Astyanax mexicanus: one gene and its partner. The protein of the gene in region 2 interacts with the protein of the main gene of each other region in a biochemical or structural test. Links are inferred from orthologs where the notes say so. Each region holds a gene or a part of one and is shown on either strand. Other genes may lie near its edges.

What was found. The genes of interacting proteins can lie anywhere in the genome.
Region 1: of the proteins of fbxl17 (region 2) and sufu, one has a biochemical effect on the other in vitro, tested with the Homo sapiens proteins (2 studies listed by BioGRID, with this or other methods). The link is inferred for Astyanax mexicanus from reciprocal best matches to the Homo sapiens genes FBXL17 and SUFU.

What each region holds. Positions count from the first base shown.
Region 1 is NC_064414.1:23,140,424-23,147,464, reverse strand, and holds the start of sufu (suppressor of fused homolog), read right to left. Parts: upstream 3,023-7,041; 5' UTR 2,800-3,022; coding exon 2,654-2,799; intron 1,520-2,653; coding exon 1,385-1,519; intron 777-1,384; coding exon 640-776; intron 49-639; coding exon 1-48. UniProt on the Homo sapiens protein: Negative regulator in the hedgehog/smoothened signaling pathway. Down-regulates GLI1-mediated transactivation of target genes. Down-regulates GLI2-mediated transactivation of target genes. Part of a corepressor complex that acts on DNA-bound GLI1.
Region 2 is NC_064419.1:35,401,510-35,408,928, reverse strand, and holds the start of fbxl17 (F-box/LRR-repeat protein 17), read right to left. Parts: upstream 3,018-7,419; 5' UTR 2,849-3,017; intron 1,026-2,848; 5' UTR 1,006-1,025; coding exon 247-1,005; intron 1-246. Other genes in the region: prxl2c (peroxiredoxin-like 2C), read left to right, coding at 4,500-4,679, 5,556-5,624, 5,715-5,768, 5,861-5,966, 6,847-6,981, 7,086-7,213. UniProt on the Homo sapiens protein: Substrate-recognition component of the SCF(FBXL17) E3 ubiquitin ligase complex, a key component of a quality control pathway required to ensure functional dimerization of BTB domain-containing proteins (dimerization quality control, DQC).

The sequences.
Region 1 (7,041 bases), on a different chromosome or scaffold from region 2:
CTAGTGGGCAGTGCCATGAGATGTGATCACCACTGCAGAATGTGTTTTCTGTTACACAAAGGGATAGTTTTTTAAAGTTAGATAGTATTTAGACATTATCCTAAAAAGAAAACATTCTCAATAGTAGTAAATATATAAAATACGTACACTGCCTTATCATGGTACAAAAACTAATGGATATAATACTGTGTAGATTGCCATTAAGGATAAATATACTGTTTGCTAATAAACTAGGGCACAATGTGACAGACTAGGAGCATTAATGTGTCTGTCTATCTTAGAAAACACAATCCCACCATATTTTCTGTTTATAACTTTAATACCAAACAGCCAAATGTGTGAACGTGAAAATGACGGTCATAAAATGTATTCTATGTCTAACTTCCCAGCTACAACAGCATGTTTTTATGACACATGATGATACAGAAAGGTGCAGAAAATCCTAACTACAACCCTACCAGTCTTGTTTTGGAGTTGTCAGGACAATAGTTCACTATTTACACTACATACAATTTTTTGTTTGTTTTAATGAAATACATTTGAAATCGTATGACCATTTTGGTATTGCTTTGCAAAATACTATAATGACTCGAGTCCCATATATTTAAAGTCCATTCAGATAAGGAAAAAGCTTAGTACCTGATTGGAAGACGTATCGGGATAAACCCTGCATAAGTTCAGCAGGCCAGGTGGGGGGTGCAGTCTCCCCAGCCTCTCTCTTCAGACGAAATGTTAGTTCAAAACCAAAACCACTTGGCCCTTCCTGACCAGTGAATCTATGAAAATGAAAACAGTTGAGATTGACAGAACTTTCAATTTAAAAGGCTCCTTACTTTGGCAGTAAGTGTTTATATACTAGGTAAATAATTAATATTTGAAGAAAAAAAAAACCACACAAAAACAAAACAACATGATGTAAAAAGGCAATACATCACAGTTTTTCTAACAGCATTTCCAATTTTTTTCTTATTGGTATTCAGTATTATTAATAGTTACCTTTCAACATCTGGTTCATTAAATAATTGCTTAATGGAGTTAAATCAGGTGAGCTGAATTAACCATATGGGGTGTGAGAAATTGGAACATAGCTTTGTTATTTAACTAGATCACATGATATCAACTACTTTCTAAAAAAAACTTATTGTAATTATTATTTTTATCTGCATCTGACTAATATCTACATTTTTTTCCCAAAACAATGATGTGATAAATGGTCGTAAAAAACAAAAAGTGTTTAAATACCTAAAACGAATAAATAAACGATAAATATAAAAATATAAATATACATTTATATATAAACATGTCTGAAAACACATTTTGGAAAAAAAATGCAAAATGGCAACTCAATTTCCAAACAAAGCAGTACTCCTATTCTAACACTTACTCGTGAACTCTGTTGTCTCCATACAGATCACTCAGGCCAAGGCTAACGTAGTGCCAATGTTCCTGTACGTCCAAGGCAGGGCATCCCATGTTTCTGTACATGCTAATGTAGTCCAGGGGATCTGGCCCCCCTAACCTGTGTTAAAACAACACAACAGGGGAACACAAACAAAGCTAAGCAAACGGCCATGAGGAAGAAAGAGAACAGCTAAGCCGTTTGCTGCGATTGTAATGTTATGTAGCCAGCCAGCTAAAGTTAGCGAAATGTGTTTCGAATATATGAAGCTCCTGAAATAAGATAGCTAAACCAACTAGTTAGTTAGATAGCTTAGCTATCAAGGTAAAAAAAATGAATTTACACACAAAAACCCTTCCCCCAATTCAATAAAATAACATAACTCTCAATTAAATAAACCGTTCCCTCAATTTTAAACACTCCATAATTAAACATATAACAATGTTACAAGGTATATAACTTTCACTATTTTCTACCATGATAACCAAGCAACTTTAGAAGTTCCTGTGCAAGAAAAGTTTTCTGTAACCTTATTTGTTACTTATTTGTTATTTGTTACCTCCTAAAGTGACCTTTATACAGCCAGCTATCTTGCTAGTTAGCTAAACTATCTGTTAACTAGTTAGGTTAGCTAGCTAAGCTAAATGTCTGAACAATTATTCCACAGTAAACTTATTTAGCCAGCTAGCTGGGGTAAATAGGTTTCCCTACAAAGTGTTGCCCTCGAGCAATACACCAAAATTTGGGTTACTACACCAGACCATACCCTATTATTTATGTTTTTTATATATATATATATATATATAAAAGGCAACTGCACCTCCAAGTGCAATCTCCAATATTCTTGTTCTATATTCTTGTTGTAAACTTACTAAAACAGTGGTTTTTCATTCTGTTAAAACACCCCTGCATGCTTTGGGTGCTTCCTTACATTTACGCATCTGATTTAAATTATCTGTATGTTATCAAAAGTCAAAACGCGCATTTAATAATATTTGATATATTCACAGGGAATCCCAGACTTTCAAAAAATCCTCCCGAAAAATAAAATTTAACGTTAAGCCATAGAAAGCTAACCTAGCTAAAGTTAGTTTGCTAAGCAAGCTAAGAATGTAGCAACTAACTTTAGCTTGCTACATCGAAATATTGAACTTTAAACAAAGTTTACTTCACTTTTCTTCTGAACTGTGGTTCTCGTAATTGATTAATAACGTTTTTCTCCAGAGAACAGCCGTGCATTTATGAAATGCTTACCAGTATTTTACGATGGCGGTGACCTGCAGCGGGTTTGGTTGGTCGGGGTAGTGGCGCCTGCACTCCCCGTAGATGGCCTGCAGCCCTGGGGGAAAGATCGACGCGAGGCCGAGGTGCGCGCCGCTGCTAGGCCGCATTTCATCCATCCTTAATCTCGACTCTCGCAGTGTCACAAATGCGCCTGTCTTCACAGAACTGGGGAAACTTTGAAGCTTTCTCCGGAGTAATATTAAAACCCGAATTAATGTGTTCTCATTCGAAATATCTAATTTAGTAGTTTTTTCTCACCCGTTATTGTCTTTTAAAACCCACTCGGTCCGTTTCCCTCAGGGTTTCAGGAGTCGGCGGGGGCGGAGCCTCGTACTTTGATTGGCGTGTGTGGTGTCCAATCAGAATCAGCTGAGGAGAAGTACGGCACTGTGATTGGAAGGCGGATTTGGAAGTTGGTGTCCTTCTGATGTTTCAATAACTTTTTATTTTAGTAAATAGCTAAGTAAACATATTCAGAAAATAATCACAGCGTCCAGTAACGTCATAATTTCGTGATAATGCAAGGACTATACAAAGTTGCTCCTAACTCAGTGTCTGTAAATGTATTAATGTATCAGTAATACATATTCAAATGTATTTGTTTACTGTAGGTACTCATACTAATTTTGTGGCAGTGTGTTCATAGCTGTGTATGTACCCCAACCAAGTTTAACTATACATTAAACATTTTCTTTGGACTCAACATTTAGACATCAGTACAGTTTAAAACATGTGGGAGAAAGAGGCGCCACCTACTGTTCATATATATGCAACGTGTGGAGTATGTACATAGATAGGCTGGGTATTTATTGCTGTATGATTGATGGAGTAACACATAGGTTGGATTCTTGTTGATAAATACTCATGACTGCTAAAGGAATGGATATACAGGTGATAAACAGATAGATCTACGTGCTTACAGTTTGTTTACCTGCTGTTTAGATACAGAACATCTCTGTGAGCTTTTAACTGGTGACAGAGCTCCTTTACAGGCAATCCAGGGCTGCAAATTCCATATAAATATGTACCATTTGTACTTTTATGGTTTCTGTATTATTTTTATTATGAAGTAATAAAAATCATTAGGAAAAGGTTTTTGAAACGTATTATGCAAGCCTTTCCAGCCTGTATGCATCCTATCCTTTTATTTTTTGTTACGAACATAACTGAATTACTTTTTTTATTCATATCTAGTTAAATAAGGCTTACTTTCTTATTCAAAAGTAATACTTATTGTATAAAAAACTAAACATACATTAATTTACTAATACATAATTTATTTAAAGTCTTTGTGCATTTCTCTTACAGTGTATTCCAAACTTGCTAGGTTAGATTAGATTTGCGAGCAGTTCGATTTTAAACTTCCACCATCCATTTATGGACCATTACCTTGTACATGTACCATGTTTTTGGGTACTCAACAGTCGGACCTTCTTCCCACTTACAGTCCTCCAGCACTGACCATCCTAATGGAGAACATCACAGGCCCTCAGGATAAAATCCTGTAATTCCACCATTGCTATGGATCTACCCCAGCTCTTTTTAGAGACTCAGTTGTACTGGTATTACCCTCATCCATACACAGGTTCTCTCACAAACGTGTCTGTGAAAAGGACCCCTCAAGGTAGCTGTTCTTGAGCCTCAGGAAGAAACATGGCCAGAGGGCTTCACTGTGAAAGGTGAGCTACGCTGGGGGAGGCTGGAGAGAGTGTTTAGGATCAGCTGGGAGCTTCCAGACTTTGTGAAAGTATGCTTGCTGCAGGTGTATGGTACTTATCCCAGCATTGTTGTGAGCTTCAGGGGGTGTTGGTTCATAATGTTGAGAGCCCACAAAATGGAGTGGAAAGTGTTAGGGAAATTGTCAAGAAGGAAAAGAAGAAAATAAAGCCAGAATTTTTATTTGCTGACTTTATGTAGTTTGTTATCATGTGAAATATTTAGCTTTTTTAAAGTTTCATTGAAATAGCTAATAGCTAATAGTGATTTGTGGCCAAGTTTGTTGCATCATTAATGTTGAACTCTATGAACTTGTGTTTACAATTGGCCTTGCTGTTTTTCCTTGGAAAACCTTGAAAGTAAATGGAATCTAAAATGAAACGGTACAAAATTCTTTGGTGTTAAAATAAATATTTTGATTAAATGCAAGCTAATTTATAATAAATATACTGTGAAACACTTTAAAATTATTCATGACGATACTAAAAATGGTTATTTGGTTGTTGTAATGGAAGAATCACTGTTAGATTCATAAAGAATTATTTTTGTAATAGAGATTTGTGCTATGTTGAAAGCCATTTTAAATTTAAAGAATCTTTATTTGATGTATACGTTCCTGACACTTCCAGATCTTTTACAAATACGGTTCTGTATAAAAACAAAGGTGTTTTTTTTGACATCTTGACTAATCCTTTGTAGCACCTTTGTTTTTAAAAAAGAGTGTACTGTAGTTTTTACAGGATGTCAATAGTATGTTTTTCATTGAAGTCAAACCTCCACATTTGTATGTTTTAGTGCTAAACGTAATGTAAAAATTTACCTATTTCACAATTTGTTATACAGTATTTTATCTAGGATGACTTAACAGATTGTAAGCAACAGCTGTGGGCGGTGAGCGTTCTTGGTATGGTGTCCATGACTTCCAGTTTCCATGGAATGATCCTGAGTCATTTACCAGGAGCAAGAGATAAGACATATTTGTGGTCAATGTGTGGGCGGACATGTAACGTTTGCATACTTTAGCTCACATTTCATTATTGTGCATCAGCATATGTGTATACATACATGGACTTTGTGTCAACAATGTATGTCTATGTGATGCCACTCATCAAGCATCTAAAGATCATGCCTTCGTATAAGAGTAATGACGCCATGTGGCTCACTGTGTTAAAGTTATTTAGGTGCCTTCTCTTTAAATTAGGACAGAGTGACTGACTAAGAGGTGTGATGTAAGACAAGGAAGTTAAAAAATATAATTTGCGTGGATTTCTAAGACCATTTGACTAGCACACCCACTCATAGTCCCACTCATAAATGCAAAGTGTGTATCTCACATTAGTGCAGTGTCTGTAAAAGCTTGTGTAAAGAAATGAACCAAACAGAAATGAACAACTTTAACTTTGTAAAATGTATTAATTTCATATTTACAAGCATTTTATAAGACATGTTTCATACAAAGGTTGTCTCAAAAATACATAGCATTTCTCCTGTATGAAAAATGGGATCTTCTCAAGCATCTTTTTTCGTGATACAAATCCTATGAAAGTCCATCTTGTAGAGAGTTCGGCCAGGTTTATGGAGATATGGAACACTCTGCCAGAAGAACTGAGCCCATAGATGAGCTCCTCCTGACCACCATCTATGGAATTCAGTTCTCAGGGCCAAGTGCTCAGAGGAACCGGAGACAAACTAGAGGTCTAGAAGAAACTAGTCTCATAACTTTGAAAGGGAACATAATCACTTAGTATCCAAACAATGTAACAATGTTATAAAACTGTACATCATAAGGATGTTTGATATTTAATAGAAAACATTTATGAAACTAATGAAACATTTTGTTCCTATGGTTTTTATATTACAAAACAAACAGAAGATTAATGCTTTTTTTCTTCATTATATATATTTTTAAACTAAGCAAAGATCTTAGGGAGGGAAGTTCTCTTTTATGGAAGAGTTTCAGAGAGTCATCACTGAAATCACATTTTCACAGATGAAATCTGACACAGCAGTAGCTCAACAGTTTTACGATTTCAAGTGTGTTTATCCCGCAACAGATACTTCATCGTCCTATGAAATTCCACTGACAAAACAAGTGACATGACGTCTATTTTCTCAATGCTATCTCAATCAGGTGTTTGTTTAATGTTTGATCATTACTGAATTCTTGACACAGGTACAATGCACTTCATGTCCTCAGCCGAATTCAAGCCACACCTGAAGAGTTTCAGGAAATTCTTTCTTTCCGTTAAATGGAACTGAACCAGTTGAACTGCCTTTAAAGTGTACTGCTGGAAACCCCCATGGAAGTCCAAACAAGATCCATTATCTACTATGAGACTGGATGATCACACACAGCAGGCCATATCACTCCTTACTTACAAATGATCAAATGCTGCCGGTTTTACTGATGATACCAGTTTAAATAAAGGTACATATCAAAGTTTTAAAACATTCTATAAAATAATTATGTTTTACTCTTAACCTTTACTTACACAAAATACCAAAATTAATTGTTTATTTAACAATTATTTGTCTTTAAATCAGGGCTATTTTAAGAAATTGATACTTACCTGTGAGACAAACTCTTCCTAGTTTGCCAGTATAAATGTTCTATATAATTCTCCTCTTTGGAAAAATGCTCC
Region 2 (7,419 bases):
TTTTGTTTTAATTTGACACAGATTAGCTTCTTTTCACAGTTGTTTAAACACAAAACTTATGTTGTTTTAAATCATATTGGATACATTTTTATCTTTACACAAACTCATTATGGACATAATGGGAACTTTCAAGGCAATATACATTCATTTTTGTTGCTTTTCCTTTAACAGGCATTACCAGTATATCTGACCAATAGCACCATGTTGAACAGAGAGCATGCCCCCTATACCAATCAGTGCACATACCTTGAGCAGTATGGAGGATGGCAGGTGGTTAATGCGGGACGTATCTGTGCTCTCCGAGTTCTTGCCATCCTCTGACCCGTCGCTGTTAGAAAGTGGGCAGGAGAAGGAGGAGCTTTCTGGAGTGGCAGCACTACTGCTGGGACTTTCACCCGAGTCTGTTGCCTGCAGGCCCACGCCCGAGCTCTCTTCCTCTGAGGATGAGGCAGATGAGGAGGAAGAGGATGGAAGTGGGCAGAGTTGGGGCAGCAGGCGTTGGCCGGCTGAGGGAGGGGTATTCGTCTCCTCTGCCGCCTCCTCGTCCTGAGCAGCCTCGTGAAAAGCACAACGCGGCTGCTTGCAGGGAGCCGTGCATCGGCGTGGCTCGCCACTCTTGCGCTTGCAGACCATCTCGGAGTATTCCGTGGAGCAGCGGAACAACGGAGGGGCTCCGATCAGCTTGGCCGGCACGGCGGACAGCAAGCTCCTCCGGCCCTGGCCCTCCCAGCCAACGGCCAACTCCCCTGGAGACAGCAGGAACCTGGCACAGTCCTCAGGCGTGCTTAACGACACGTACCGTTCAGCAAGCTTGGAGGCAGCCACAGCCGCACCACCGGTGCTCTCGTAGGGGCACTCGTCCTCAAGACTTTCACTGGTGCTGCGGACGATGAAGCAGAGCATGCAGGGGCCCCGTAGGAAGCAGTTCCTCCTCTTCTTCTTCTTGCGCAGCTTCCGAGTTTTCTTCTTCAGGCAGTAACCATTTTTCGAGAGAAGATGGCCCATATAGATGACTCACGGTGACTCTGGTGACAAGAAGCAAAAGCAAAAGCATGAATGAATACAGTAGTTATGCTTATATATTGCCTCTCTAGAGCCCAAGGACGCTTTACAATCAACCCTCTACACAAGCCTTTACACTCGACACTCAATCAAGTGGCAAAAGAGAAGTGGCAATCAACTAATGAAACCTGAAACAACTCTCAACCAGGACTGCATCAAGCACTAAGGGCACAGACCCAGAATGGAATGCCAAACCTTATACAGACACAAGTTCACACAAATACACACTCGTACACACAAACCAGGGCAATTTAGATTCACCAATTCAAGATTTACTGAGAGCAATCAACCCACCCGTTCACCATGTTTTTGTACTGTAGGAGGCAACAAGAGGAAAACACTGAAACTTAACTCATAAAGGGAATTGAACCCAATACCCCAGTGCTGCAAGTTAAACATGATTAAAAACCACCAACAACCATTCCACCCAAACAGCTTCACTGTCACAGATTAATTGGCTGCCACATTATGAGACTTTATAATCCTATGATTTTATGGAATGGATTTTACCATTCAAACAACTATCGCAATCCTTCAAGCTGACCTCTGGATTCTCTCGCTTATGTAGCAACTGTTCTAATCGAGTTGGATTCTATTTTCAGTGGACAATGCATGAAGTGAGATGTGAGGGACAGTACAAGCAAAATACTCCAGCCATTTCTGAAGCATGCAGTTGGCCCCTGGCTTTATATTACTAATCAATTATCTTCAAATACAACTACCCATAACATCTCCTAGGTTCTGATGTATCTGGACACAATAATTAAAGTTGCACTAAAATAGCCTGTCAGACACATAAACAACCAGATAACCATGAAGTTATCTGACTCACACAACTATACAGGGAAGCACACCATTCTTTTACATCACCACCATAACAATAACAAACGGTGAGGCCTAAATTACAGCGATCTTCCCTGAAGCTAACAACTTTACTTCTGGCTAGATCACATAGTTTGTGAAGCTTTGGTCAGACTCAGGGAGGCGTCATTGGGGAATATGCTGTGATACTTGAATGAATTGCTTTAACAAGCATCTGAATTGTTCGGAAAACTAAAACATGAACTTTTTTTCTTTGCATTATTTAAGGTCTGAAAGCTCTGCATCTATTTTGTTATTTTAGCCATTTCAGTTATTCTCAGTCTCTGCAAATAAATGCTCTAAATGACAATATTTTTATTTGGTGTTTGGAAGAAATGTTTTCCATAGTTTATAGAATAAAACAACAATGTTCATTTTACTCAAACATTTACCTTTAAATAGCAAAATCAGATCAATTGATTCAGAAACTGAAGTGGTCTCTTAATTTTTCCAGAGCTGTACATGTTTAATATCACAATATTTTTTAGCCCTGGACTGTTGGCTGTCAACAATTGTAACTAAGTTAAATAACTAACTAACTAAGAGTTCAGAGAAGCTCAACCCCTGCTATGCTAGGTTAACCTTACTAACCTAACAGCTAGGTTAGATAAATTCCTTTAATTAAAAGACTATACACTGGGGGAAACCTGGACAGCTAACCTTAACTAGCTAAGTAAAGCCCTGGGTGGTCTGTAAGTCTAGCCCAGTGTTTATCAACAGGTTGGAGTTTTTGCTCCATGGCGGTGTTACTGCTGTTGCTCGTGTTGTTGTTGTTTTAGCTAAGACTGGGGAACATCCCTGAAGCGCTGTCTCGTTGCTATGATAGCGGGGGAGCTGCTAGGTTAGCTAGCTAAGTGTGCTAATCAACATCCCCGACTCCTGCAATCCTGGAATCCTGTCCGCAAAACCAGCGGGGTCTCCTCACCAGCAGTCCGCGCGGCGTGACCCGCCCCTGTCCCGCGCTCTCATAATCCGGGCAGAAGCAGGTTAGTGCTGGGAGGCAGAGAGCCGAGCCGGAGCCATAAACCAGCCTGCAGGCAGAGGCAACTTGCTTAGCTACTTCAGTCTCTTTACAGTTTGAAAACACATCCGGGAATCTCTGCTACTATAAAGGAAGTCCCGCCCCGTGCCGTTCGCGTGAATCATTTTTTAAACCGGCTCTTTTCAACAAGTCGTTTGAGTCGATTCAACTGAATGACTCATTTAACTGCTGTTCGTTTTATTGTTATTTTTTGTTGAAACAAATTTATTTCCAATTTGCATCGTTATGCTCCTCACATTTTAACACATTTAACCGCTTTGTTAAAGACAATTCTACCAAATTACAAATTATGAATCAACAAGTCGTTCGAGTCGATTCAACTGAATGACTCATTCAACTGCTGCTCGTTTTGTGGTTATTTTATGCTGATTCAGCGTAAATCTATTTAATTTCCAATTTGCACCATTATGTTCACATTTAACCGCGAGTGTTAAATGCAAATTAATTTAGTGTAAACCAAATTCATTTGCGAGACTAACCATTAAGCTCCATCCACTTACATTTAACCCATTTGGTTCAGGTTTTAGAGTGTAAACAGTTACTTTATGTAATGTAAATAAATAAGTAATATTATCTAAATAAACAAAATTACAAGATAATACAAATTAATTTAAATCTAAAAACAATAATATTAGAGAATATTAAAGCAAATAAATACTAAAAAAAAACGTAGCAAGGTACTCAAAGCTGAACATTACCCACTATTACCAATCTGTTTGGACATTTGATCTTAAAAACACAACAGTAAAACAAGAAGAATATGACCATACCCCCAGGCATGGTGAAGAATTGGTGCCAAATTAAAAAGCAATTACAGCAAATTGAAGTAAAAAGATCTGTTATTTGAAATTGTATGGTGATAAAATGTAAAATGCTAATTCAAAAGACAGAACAAACTTCAGCGTTTGTTCAACCATTTAATATTAAAGTTGTTTCAACGCTGTTTCAACATTTTAACCACATTTCAATGTTAAGGGCGATTGTGTGTCAGTTGGTCAGGCATTCTCAGTTGATTTGTGAGAATTCGGTTAATTGAATCAGTTCATTCGAAAGAGTCGGTTCTGTACAATGAATCAAACAACCCCTCGCTGGTTGTGATTGGCTGGGCTTCGCGTCACTGTGTAGTGTTCTCGGATTGGCCAGTAAGGGCGCTACAGTCCTGATAGTGGAGTCTCTGAACTGTGAGCGGTGAATAACTGTAACACACATCACAACTCTATAATAACTAGTTTAATCATCAGAAACACATAAGTAACGTTTTTTTTTGTTATCGCGCTTGCTGTAATAAATAGAGATAATCTGAAACTCGGTCTAGAGTGTCTGAATGCAATCTAACCGTGATATTTTATTACATGCCCTTTATGTGGAGGAGGAGAACTTTCTGCAGGTCTCAGAACTGAAAGCTCTGTTCAGCACAAGCCTCAGCAGGGCTGGGCGTGCTGAGTCCCTTCATCCGTCAAGAAAACGCCAAAAATAGCCCGGGCCTGGCGGTTTACCCTCCGGAAAAACACACTGCACACACAGCAGCGGAGCAATGGCTGCCGTTTTCCCAATAACCCAGCAGATCTCCAGTTCAGCCCCGCAGAGCAGCCGAGCCGCGGCCCAGCTCAGTGTCAGCGAGGCGGAGGACTGTCTGATATATGACCGGCACGGAGCTCCGGCTCCTTTTAGGAGTTTATTCCAGAGCAGCAGAGCTATCATCATTTTTGTAAGAGTAAGAGAGCGTTTCCTCTGTTTCTCCTAATACGAAAAATAAACTATCTACATGTTTTAAAGTTAAAATTCTACTGAATTTGGCTGAAGTTGGTTTGATAGGTTCTAGAATATGAAGAATAGGCTGTTTGTACTTGTTTTAAAGTTTAAATTGTATTTAAACTTAGACCAGCTAATAAAACCATGTTTATATAGCAGAGCTCTGAGAAACTGGTGGGCCCTGTTTAGACCTGTGGTCCCTTCAGGTTCCAAAGTTTCTGGATTGTATTTTGTATTTTGTAGTTTAATCACATGCATTTACAACTGAGAGTTTAATGTGGTTAATCAGTTTACATCTGATTCACACACACACACACACACACACACACACACACACACACACACACACACACTAGGAAAAATAGTAAGTACAGAGTACAAAGCTTTCCTCTGGGGCTGTACTTTATATTGAGCTACAACACCAGTAAATATTATCATATATATTATCATCCACTGAAAATGTGTCAAGAACTAGATGATTCAGAATTTTCTGACTTTCAAAAAAAAAAAGTATAATTAAAACATACATCTCTGGAAAAAATTAAAAGACCACTTCAGTTTCTGCATCAGTTTCTCTGATTTTGCTATTAATAGTTATATGTTTGACTAAAATGAGTATTGTTGTTTTATTCTATACGGACAACCCCCGGTATGTTCTCCTCCACCAGTCTTACACACTTCTTTTGGATAACTTTATGCCAATCCTGGTGCAAAAATTCAAGCAGTTCAGCTTGGTAGCTTGGTTTGATGGCTTGTGATCAGTGAGTGTTTTTTTTTTTTTTTTTATGAAAACAACAGTATCAAACCATACCAAAATTGTGTTTTGGGTTTCTGACAGAATTTCTTGTGCTTCGCATGTAAAGAATATGTTGAAGATCTAAGCAAGATATCACAGAAGGCATTACTGGTGAGTACAAATACAACACTAATGATCAGTAATGATAATTTGCAGAGTTTGCAGTTGAATGAGAATAATTTGTCTGTGTTGCTGATGCAGGATGCTGGCGTCCGGTTGGTTGTCATTGGCCAGGCCTCTTGTTCTCATATAGAGGTGAGACAGTTATAGAGCAGTTTGATCTATTTCAGACCTTGTGCTGTACATAATGAAATGTCAAGCTGCAATATTTATTCCCTGTCCTGTAGGCATTCTGCTCTCTGACAGGATATCAGCATGAAATATATGTTGATCCAGAAAGACAAATCTATAAAAAACTTGGCATGAAAAGAGGAGAGACGTTTATGGAAACAGGTAAAAACCTGCCAACTGTCATTGACTGGAATAATCCCAGAAAACAGATTTAGTTTTAAATGGATATTTCAGTTTGAGTTTATGTACAGTGTAAATCCAGATTTTAATATGGTATTATTTAAGACTAATATTTGTGCCAATTCTATCACATTATTAAATTAGATAAATTTGGCAAAATTCACAACATAAATGGATTATAATGAAAAATACCAAGTTTTTAAAATTCAGTTAATGGACAAGTTGGAGTAGAAGTCATGGGACAGTAGTATGTAAACTGGCCATAAAATGTTACCTCAGGGGATTGCTTAAGAATACCAGTATAGGTTGTGAGATGCTGTTTTGTGAGCAGAGTTGGAGTTTGATTGATGGGGAATACCAGATAAATTGGACGTAACATTTCTGAAGTTGTGCAGGCATTTAAAGTTTCTTGATTCACGGTGTCATGTGTGTACCAGCAATACATCATTGGAGGCATTACCACCTATAGTGGACAGTGCAGTGGGTTGTAATGATCATGACCGGCAGCATCTGGCTAGAATTGTCTGTGTAAACAGAAAAATGACTCTGAAATTACATCCACATTTAATGCAGAAAGCCCACACGCGTAATCGGCAAGTCAGTACAGCATTTGTTAGCTTCCAGTGGACAGGATACAAGGTCCTGTCCCATGAAATGTGTCGTGTCTTTACATTAACACAGTGTTAGAATTGAATATTATAACTGAGTTTCTGTTATATTATAATTGTTTGACAATCCAACATCACTGCAGTGAAATTGATGCTTGTGTTCATATAACTGTGTTGAAGAGAAATTAATGCTAGGTTTAAGTAATTATGGCACATTGCATGTAATAAGGATGAATTCCTGTTCGTGTCCCCAGCCTCCAAGAGTCCACATGTCAAATCCAGTATGCTTGTTGGCAGTTTGAAGAGCATGTGGCGTGCCATGACCAGCCCTGTGTTTGATTTCCAAGGAGATCCTCTCCAGCAAGGAGGAGCTATCGTTGTTGGTCCAGGTGCCTAATTTAAGAAGGCACTTCAAGATGTACTCTTTATCATTGTTCTCGTAATGTAATAGTGTATTAACTGTAATAATTGTTCTGTTCTCTTATGTTTGCAGGTTCTGATGTTCATTTTGCACATTTTGACATGAATCGATTTGATCAAGCACCCATCAACCAATTACTAGAGCTGGCTGGAATGCAGATGGTGGACTTTAACAGACATCCCAAAGTTATTGACATCTAAGAAAAGACATGATTGTGAAAAGACTAGGAATCACAAATTTATTTAAACAATTAACCCATAGCTTAAGCTATTCAGTTATCATGTATTACCAGTATTTTATTCACACCTCAACGACAACTCAACCCAGTTGAGTTCAGTAAATTAATTTTGACATTTTGTTTAAGTTCATGCAATACAAAGTATATTCATTGCAGACTGAAGAGTGC